Linked DNA regions of Xenopus tropicalis. The protein of the gene in region 2 purifies or fractionates together with the protein of the main gene of each other region. This does not show direct contact. Links are inferred from orthologs where the notes say so. Each region holds a gene or a part of one and is shown on either strand. Other genes may lie near its edges. The genes, in order: fgfr2 and rps6ka3.

Region 1 (4,525 bases), on a different chromosome or scaffold from region 2:
TGGAAGGCACAGTGCTGGCGCTCTTATTTGTGCATTTAAATCCCATATAGAATTTCTCATTTCTTTCCAAGAAGTTTTTGGCTTCCTCCCCCAGCACTCCACCATAGATTTCTATTATCTAAAGGTTTGGCCAAGATCAGAAAATAGCCCTAATCTGCATTTTAATTGAGATTCCACAGAAGGGGAGACCGTGCCTCAATCCCTACTTATCAAGGGGCTTTAGTGCAACCCCCATTAAACCCGCACAATGAGCGGGGGCACCATGTACACTCTCATATAAAGCCAAGGAATTCAGCCTCCCTCTTGGCCACGGATTCCCCCATTGTATGCACCCCAGATTCCAGCACACAATGTACATTTAATGAGGGCTCCACAATGCACTTTTTCACACTTAACACATCCAGTACGGAGATTTGTAAAAGGGTTGTTATCTTTTTAGACCAAGCTCCGACACCAAGGTACAATGGAGCTTCACAACAAAATGCAAACACCAACGCACAGTCCCAAGAGCAGTTGGCACACAGGGATTTTACATGCAGCCCCTGGAACCTTTACATTATAGATGGATTTTTTCCCCCTTTACAAACAGCCTTCAAGTCAGTTCCTTGATTAACACCAGATACCACGCTGACTGGGTTAGGAATTCACGGCCGGTGGGACAAAGGAATGTTTTGCAAGGATTTTTTTTATAATGATAAAGAAAACCTGAATTTTCCAAAATGTGAAGCTTTTGTTGGGCTGCGTTCAGGGGCCTGTAATGCGTCTGTGGCTTTGCCCGCTGTGTGGGTGCTAAACACCTAACAGGCCTCTCTCACGGGTAGAATCCTAGCCCCTTTCTTCCTTGCCCGATGCAGACTATAAACCTGTCATTAATGGATCGGCAGTTCGTTTAACCTGTAGGAAGCACCCCCCCCAACCCTGATGTTGCCGAGTTTTGCGTAGAAAATAAAGGAGGACAAATAAAGAGAATTAAAAGCCGAAGGGGCTGCTGTGGGGCAGGCAATATTAGGCTCAGCAGGAGGAGAACATGTAAAATATTCATGCAAATATCCAAAATATGAGGACCTGGGGGTGCATTATTGCCCCCAGGACATTTTACATAAAACAGTCTTTACAAGATAGCGTTAGTACATGAATGCAAACACAGACATAGCGAGGGTACATACACACTACTACTCAGACTGTCCGTGCCCCTTGTACTGGGCCCCTCGAGCATCTTAGCACCTAAACAGTCCTGTCAAACCCTAGGGCAAAGGCACGCAATGGATCCTGCATTGGTTCCATGACCCTTTACTTGTCCAGCCCTACGTATGTACACAGTGGAAATGTAAATGTGGCTTGTGGCTCTGCTCTATGCATATACATAGCAACCGGTCCATCAGACCCGGTGGGTTCCAGCATTCGTGCCCATTGTGATACATAACTGTACAAAGAAAGACCCTATTGTTTAGCGAGCATTTAGGAGCAATCAGGAGTCGCACTCCCCTACTGCACAAGGGGTACCCACGGGTATAACATTGTAACCTGTAAAAGCAAATCCACATTCTGCAATGTTGTTTGTCCAGCCTGCAGCCCTCCAGCTGATCTGGAACTCCCAGAATTCCCCAGTAAGCTATAAGCATCAGATAATAGTGAGAGTGGCATTTAGACTGTCTGGTCATGACCAAGGGCCTATGTTTATATGTTACATTCATAAACCTACTTGGGGCAAAGCATGCTTTGTTGCATACCATAATGCAGGCCGCAGTGGCCCTCCATATTATTCACATTTATTTATAAAGCGCCAACATATTCCGCAGCGCTGAACAATAAGTGGGTTCCATACATTGGACATACAGAGTAACATATAAAGCAATCAATAACCGATACAGGAGGTGAAGAGAGCCCTGCCCAAAAGAGCTTACAATCTACAAGGAGAAAGGGTTGAGACACAAGGTGTTGTTCAACTGCAACAGGCTTTGGGCAGTCAAAAGCCGCTCACTTGTAGGCTGCCCAATGGCTGACCATTATCACCCAAGTTTGACCATTAATTACCAGCTTTTCTTAGTTTGGGAAATATGATTGCTTTGATCCCATTTGTCTATAACAATTATAATAACACATAGACATAGCGCCTTCTACAACAACTTTCCAACATCAATCCTGGGAGCTACCACACAGCTTGCATGGCAGGGGTAAAATTAAATATTATCCACTCACTCCAATAATATAGCGCCTCATAGTGGCCAAACATGCCAGAAAGCTTTAATATTTAAACCCAATTTCTTGTAGGCACTTGAGTACCATTCACTTCAGCAATAAATACAAGCTGGGCAAAAGTCCATGTTTTTCAAAATTCATAACGATCTAAAGCTGTTTTAAATGTTCTAAAACACCAACCCACATTATCATGCATTGCTCCCATAAATAAAGACCATAAAGTAAAATATGCAACAAACATCACCCTGCAGCGGTTTTGTGCGGCAAAGCGAATTTAACGCATTGCGCTTCCAATTACGCACAGCGATTTCCTCATTACCTGATTAAAGCAAGGAGTTTTAGACAAGTTTAACCAATGACATGACACAGGTATATCCCCTGTGGGGGTCTGTACCCCAGTTCTATTAGGCTGAGAAGCCCCTCCTAGAGTTACAACGTTGCGGGTTTGTTGGCATTACCTGGAGAGATGGCGGTGTAAGAAAATCCCCTCAGCCCTGCATCAGGCGTGTGCCTGGCAAGACTCCGTGTGTCCCAGGGGACAGATTCCCAAGTCCCGTTTCAGCCAATGAGAAATACGTATCCCTCCGAGCGCAGGGTGAGCGAGTCCCGATCCCGACTCAGAGCCCGGTAACCAGCAGCAGCCAAAGCCAGTGAGGTTCCAAAGAGGGGAACAGGCAGAATCCCCTTTGCAGGGTGAATGAGTAAGTTCTCTGTGATTTCTTTTCTCTCTGAGTGAATCACCAATCCCCTGATAGTCCCACAGTGATGAATCCCGCAAGGTTCAGTGCATAGGAATCCCGGTAAGTGCTATCCAGGCAAGCCAAGCCCTTCCAGGCAGCAGTGCAGCCACAAACAATAAGGTAATAGGTAGGGAAAGTTCCCAAAAGTGGATGTGTGAGAGGTGCAACCCAGTGTAGATCCCGTGTGTGAGGGGCAATGGAAAGTCTGTGTGACTTTTCCCTCCCTCCCCCTCACTCCTCATCCTCACTCCCAGCCCCTTCCTCCTCCCTGAGTCACTCCCCTCTGTCTGGAACCTGAGCCTTCATCCCTCCCTTCATCCAATGCTGGAGCAGCTCCTCTCCCCTGGCCCAGTCTCCCTTCCCCAAGCCCTGCTGGCCCTCCCCCTGTGCCTGCCCCACACTTTGGCATACATCACTGCACAGACTGGGGAAGGTTTGTTTGTATTGGAATTACTATGCTATGTGCGCTCTCTTTCTCTCCCATTTTCCATCTCCTTCTCCTAATATTTATCTTCTCTTCATACCCCCCTCATCATTAAACAAACAAAAAAAAAATTAAGATCACCGGTGAGGTCACAGTATTTTAGTGATGTCATACTGTGTACTTGCATCGCCATTGGGCAATAGGGTTGGCAATGTTAACAAGAGAAAAATAATCTTCTACTGCCTAATTATAAATATATTATAAGTAATATTTTTATGGCGCTACTAATTATATTCAGCTATACAAAGTAGAAAATAAACCTCTGTGCCAAAGAGCTTACAATCCTGTAACTGTCACTGCTATAGGGAGGCTGGAAGGTTCTATAGGTTCTACTGAATAGGTGATTGGTAAAAAGTGCTTTGAAAGGGTACAGATTGCAGCACTCAGGCTCAGACTGGCAATCTGTGGATTCTGCAAATGCCAGCTATATAAAGTAAGCCTCTGTACCAAAGAACTTACAATCTAAAATCCTGTCACTGTCGAAGGGAGGCTGGAAAGTTCTGCTGTATAGATGATTAGTGTCTTGAAAAGGTACAAATAGGGACACTCGGGCCCCGACTGGCAATCTGTGGGTCCTGGCAAATGCCAGCTATATAAAGTAAGAGTAAGCCTCTGCACCAAAGAACTTACAATCTAAAATACAGTCATTGTCAAAGGAAGGCTGGAAAGTTCTACTGTACAGATAATTTGTGTCTTGAAAGGGTACAAATATGTGTGTATGTATGTATATCTTTATTTATAAAACGCTACTTATGTACGCAGCGCTGTACAGTAGAATAGATTAATACAAACAGGGTGTTAATAAGATAATAGATAAATACAAAGTATAATAATAAATACAGATAAATACAGCAGCAATAAGTTGAGAGTCGAGGATACAAGAGGAAGGAGGTCCCTGCCCCGTAGAGCTTACAATCTATATAAATAGTGACACTCAGGCCCGGACTGGCAATCTGTGGGTTCTGGCAAATGCCAGAGGGGCTGCTGTAAGATGCCATAGACACTCACTATTTATTGGGCTAGTGGGGGGCTGTTTGGGCTTCTCTGTACATGAAATACCAGGGCCTATTTTGACTCCCAGACACTGTCCCTTACATAGTGG
Region 2 (4,428 bases):
ACAAAATAAAAATATAGCATACTGAAAGCCCCTTTGCTTAGAAATGCTGCCTCCTCCATCCCAGAATTCCCTATTTGGTGGCAAATACATTCAGCAATGGTCATCAGGTTACAGAGGAATAAGGAGAAAAACGTCAGAGAAAGGTCAGGAATAGAATATTTTGTTGGCTCAGTAAAAGAATGAGAACAGCAATAGAAAAAAAGAGAAATTTGCGTGCATACACATAAGTAATTAGTTAGCAATATATTGTTCAATGGAATCTGCATTGTGAATTGTAAATATTATATATATAAAAAAAATATTTGCATATTTACATTTGAGACCCCCAACCCAGAGTGCATATAAAATATAGAAAGCTTTCCAGAAAATCACAGTAATTTTACTGACCAAACCAGCTCTGTAGCTTTCAAAAGTGACTGCAGAGACAACTAAGAAGAGAGCAAAGATTGATGCACAGGAAGAGGCAAGAGACAGTTTATTTAGGGACTTCCTGTACACCCAAGAACACACAAATACTAGAAGTGCTTCAGCTTCCCACCAGTTACTAAAAGATGATTTCCTAGGTTCCGCTAGAGGTGGCGTGGGCTATGCAGCAATACCAATAATCTGAGTCTTTAGTGTGCATTACCCCTTTAGGTGGTTTTTGAGAAATATGTTTGTGTTTACTAGAAATGATACACACTATATTTATAAATACAGGTGCAAAGATACAATGTATTCTGTTCCATTTCCTTTGTTTTGGATATAAAACAGATGAGCATACAGCTTAAGCTGCTGATGTACAAGATTTCAAATGTTAAACATATAAATTATAAAGCCAGGTTCTATATATCAAACACACTACCCAAACAGGAACAACTGATCCCAAATGAACCGATATGTGTGTGTAATTAAACTGTAAGGCAGACGTATGCGCCATGCCTTAAATTGGAGGTTTTATAAAGACAATGAGTATTAAACTTGCCAAATTATCTTGGAACGCTTCCTGTCAAATTACTGAACGGCATTGGCTGCCAGCACTTTGTCACATCGTCACTCCTTTCCTAGCCCTCAATTAGTCATTCAACCTTGAATCTCTAAAATCTCCTTTACCTGCAGCGCAGTACCTTTGCTCTGCTCACTTGCACACTATCAGGCACTGCCCTGTGTGCTTTCCTTCATTTCACTTCTAGTCCCTGCAGTATAAAGTGAAAGACACCTCCCTTCGTCCTTCTATATTTACAACAGAGCTTATGTCTTAATTGCCCACATCTGCACATTACAAAACCTACAAATGCCAGTCTCTTGCAGCCTCTTATCTACAGAAACATTCCTGTTGCAAGGCATAAATACGTGCACTAGCACAATTTTTTTTATTTGGTCTAACTGCCCTTTAGTGAATGGCACAAAATAAACCCCACTTGGTCTATCACTAACTATAAAAGGTAGGGGTGGGTTTCCAAAGGCAGGGGAGACAAGTACAGACCTGTACATGGCTACATTCTGCCATTTGCTGCCAGTTTTCTACCAGTTCTTTCAGCCATTATGAATAATGTGGAGAATTATTTAGAGGGTTAATGAGATTCTATTAATAGAATGTAAACATTCCGAGAAAGGGCTGGAATTCTAGGGTCATATACATGCAATTTGTTATCCAATAACCAATTTAGCTATAACGTACATTACTAATTCTATGGCTTCACACAATATTATAGGAGGCTGAACTCTTACTTAATAAGAAATAGACAAAAACACATAAAAGAAAAGAACTAAAAATATAAATGCGTCTTAAATCCACTACCTCCAGGTCCTTAAAGGGCAACCCCACCCAAAAGTAACTTTCCATTCTACATTAAACATTTTCAGTGGCTTTATAGACATCTCTTAATGTTATCAGTTTCTGACTGTTGAAACAATGTAGCAGGTCAACTCTCCAGGTTTGTTAAGGAGCTGGAGTCAGAACCAGAAAGGCAAAGGATTCCGTTTTCAATAGCAATTATGCTTGAAAATAACTTTTAACTAAAACGTTTAATGTATATTAGTTAGTTGTTCAGAATAGCATTTTCTATTATTATGCAAAAAAAAAACATTTTCAGCGTGGAGTTCCCCTGTAACTCAATTGCTACTTGGCATTCCCCACCAAGAGCTGTCAGTGAGTGCTGCAAGATGGAAAGAGTTAAACAGCCCAGAGATAGTTATGTTCTGGCACTCCCGCTATTGTGTTACTACTACTCCCAGCATCCTCTCAGAAACGCAGCTGGTAAGAAACGGAGCTGCTAAAAGTTGAAGCTGGAGTGCCAGGGAGTCTGTACTACTGCCCGAACTAGATAGCCCGAAGCACTCACACTTTCATACTCATTCGGGATGGAAAGAGATAAGTGCCGATCAGGCGGAACCCTTCCCTGTGAAAGGACTGTGTCCCCTTCTCTCTCTGGCCGAGATACCCGCACCTTCCATTATTTGTATCTTACCTCGCTTCCCACTTTCTGCACCGGCACTTTCTGCCACGGGTCTGCCAGCTGCGCCAGCGGCATCTTTTCAACCCGATGTGATTCCAGCAATTGTCCCCAAAAATCACCAAAGTGACCGAGCTCCAGTCCGCCCCCCTAGAGTCACCGTGAGCTGTCCGGTACTGCGCGGCAAGCCAGAACCACTCCAGCACAGCTCTTCTCCCTTCTCTCACTCACACAGATCTTTACTTCCTCTCACAACATGGCGTCCCCAGCGGTACCTGCCGCTCGCAGCAAGGCACGGTGCGCGTCACCCCTACGTCACATGCAGTGGGCGGCCTTCCCCTCCCTTCAGTTCGGAGTACAGGTGACAGTCGGGGGAAGAGGATTCTGGGTAAAATTGCGTCATAGGCGGAATGCCTGCCCTCCCATGTTAGATGAGTCTCCGGTTACGCAAATGAATAAGGTTTCAGCTAGACGCTGTGTCGTGGTTGTGTGTGGGTATATGTGTGGGTATATGGGTGGGTATATGGGTGGGTGAGCCCCGGTTCCCAGCCTTGACTTCCGTTCTTGTATACAGATTCATGCCTTTTTACACTCCTTCGATAAAGAAAGATTTGGCCAGTGTTTGTAGCTCATGTAAGCTTTGCTCATGCCTTCAGTGGATGTAAGGGAAATGCAGTGCTTATTCTATAAATGTAATATCTCCGGTCTCTCTCTCTCTCTGTGAGTGACAGCTTTCTTTCTCTCGCAGGATGTCTCTCCGGCAGTCTGTACCTTGCGCAATTTGTGCGTGTTATCTCTTACATAGGGGCATATTTACAGAGGTTGGCATATTGTTACCGAAAATAAAAATTTGCCACAACGTTGGCAATTTACTATAAAGGATTATAATTGTTTGTGAATCGAAACAAAACATTAACCTCATTTCGCCAAGGTAAAAATTTTTCTAGTGTGAAATATTTGCCAATTTATGAATAGCGCAGGAACGAATGCTAGCCAAGAGAAATGGCTCCAGGTTTAGGCTAGCAAACTTCCATTATAATGACACCTTGGCCACTTTGCATCTCATTTTCTATGTTATCTCTTCCATGCTAATATCCCACATGTCATTTATTCTCTAGCAAATTTTAACCACTAGAATTGTACAGGGAAAATACAATGCTTTAAAAGAGTACTTATGCCAAAAGAAAATTTGTACTTATGATTTTTTAGTAAATATGAGATGTTTTGTGAAAATATGCCACACTTGAGCAAGGGGGATCCCCAACCAATATGTTGCGCATCAACTTTTTATTGTTGCTCCTGACTTGGGGGCAAGATTTGGTTGAATAAAAACAAGATTTACTACCAAATAAAGCTTCCTGTAAGCTGATAGTGTGCATAGAGGCTGCCTAATAGCCAATCTTAGCCCTTCTTTGGCACCTACATGAACTTTTATGGTGCTTGTGTTGCTCCCCAAGTCTTTTTACATTTGACTGTGACTCATATGTAAGAAAGTTTAGGGACCCCTGCCAGCGTTGGTAGTTAGGAGAGGGTCCTATGACGTGATGCTTGCAGTTTCCAGTAACAAATAATTACCTGCTTAAAGGGGAAGGAAAGGCTAAGTCACTTGGGGGTGCGAAAATGTTAGGCACCTCCAAGTGACTTAGATCTCTTACCTCGTACCCTGGGCTGGTGCCCCTGTTAGGAGAAAAAAGCACCAGCCCAGGGTATCTGTAGGAAGCGCTTCCTCCTTCCTTTATCTTCTGCCGGCGAAATCCGTCGGCCGGCGCATGCACAGTAGAGTGAAAAGCCGACTTTCTTGTTTAAGTTCGGCATTTCACTCTACAGCGCATGCGCGCGCAAGAGAAAAGGAAGGAGGAAGCGCTACAGCTACCCCAGGCTGGTGCTGTTCTCTCCGTACATGGGCACCAGCCCGGGGTAAGAGGTAAGCGATCTAAGTCACTTGGGGGTGCCTAACATTTTGGCACCCCAAGTGACTTAGCCTTTCCTTCTC

The links.
Region 1: the proteins of rps6ka3 (region 2) and fgfr2 purify together in Homo sapiens (affinity purification with mass spectrometry; 3 studies listed by BioGRID and IntAct, counting the BioPlex papers as one, with this or other methods). This does not show direct contact. The link is inferred for Xenopus tropicalis from reciprocal best matches to the Homo sapiens genes RPS6KA3 and FGFR2.

Annotation. Positions count from the first base shown.
Region 1 is NC_030683.2:19,258,131-19,262,655, reverse strand, and holds the start of fgfr2 (fibroblast growth factor receptor 2 precursor), read right to left. Parts: upstream 3,044-4,525; 5' UTR 2,658-3,043; intron 1-2,657. UniProt on the Homo sapiens protein: Tyrosine-protein kinase that acts as a cell-surface receptor for fibroblast growth factors and plays an essential role in the regulation of cell proliferation, differentiation, migration and apoptosis, and in the regulation of embryonic development.
Region 2 is NC_030678.2:43,846,651-43,851,078, forward strand, and holds the start of rps6ka3 (ribosomal protein S6 kinase alpha-3), read right to left. Parts: upstream 2,832-4,428; 5' UTR 2,514-2,831; coding exon 2,451-2,513; intron 1-2,450. UniProt on the Homo sapiens protein: Serine/threonine-protein kinase that acts downstream of ERK (MAPK1/ERK2 and MAPK3/ERK1) signaling and mediates mitogenic and stress-induced activation of the transcription factors CREB1, ETV1/ER81 and NR4A1/NUR77, regulates translation through RPS6 and EIF4B phosphorylation, and mediates cellular proliferation, survival, and differentiation by modulating mTOR signaling and repressing pro-apoptotic function of BAD and DAPK1.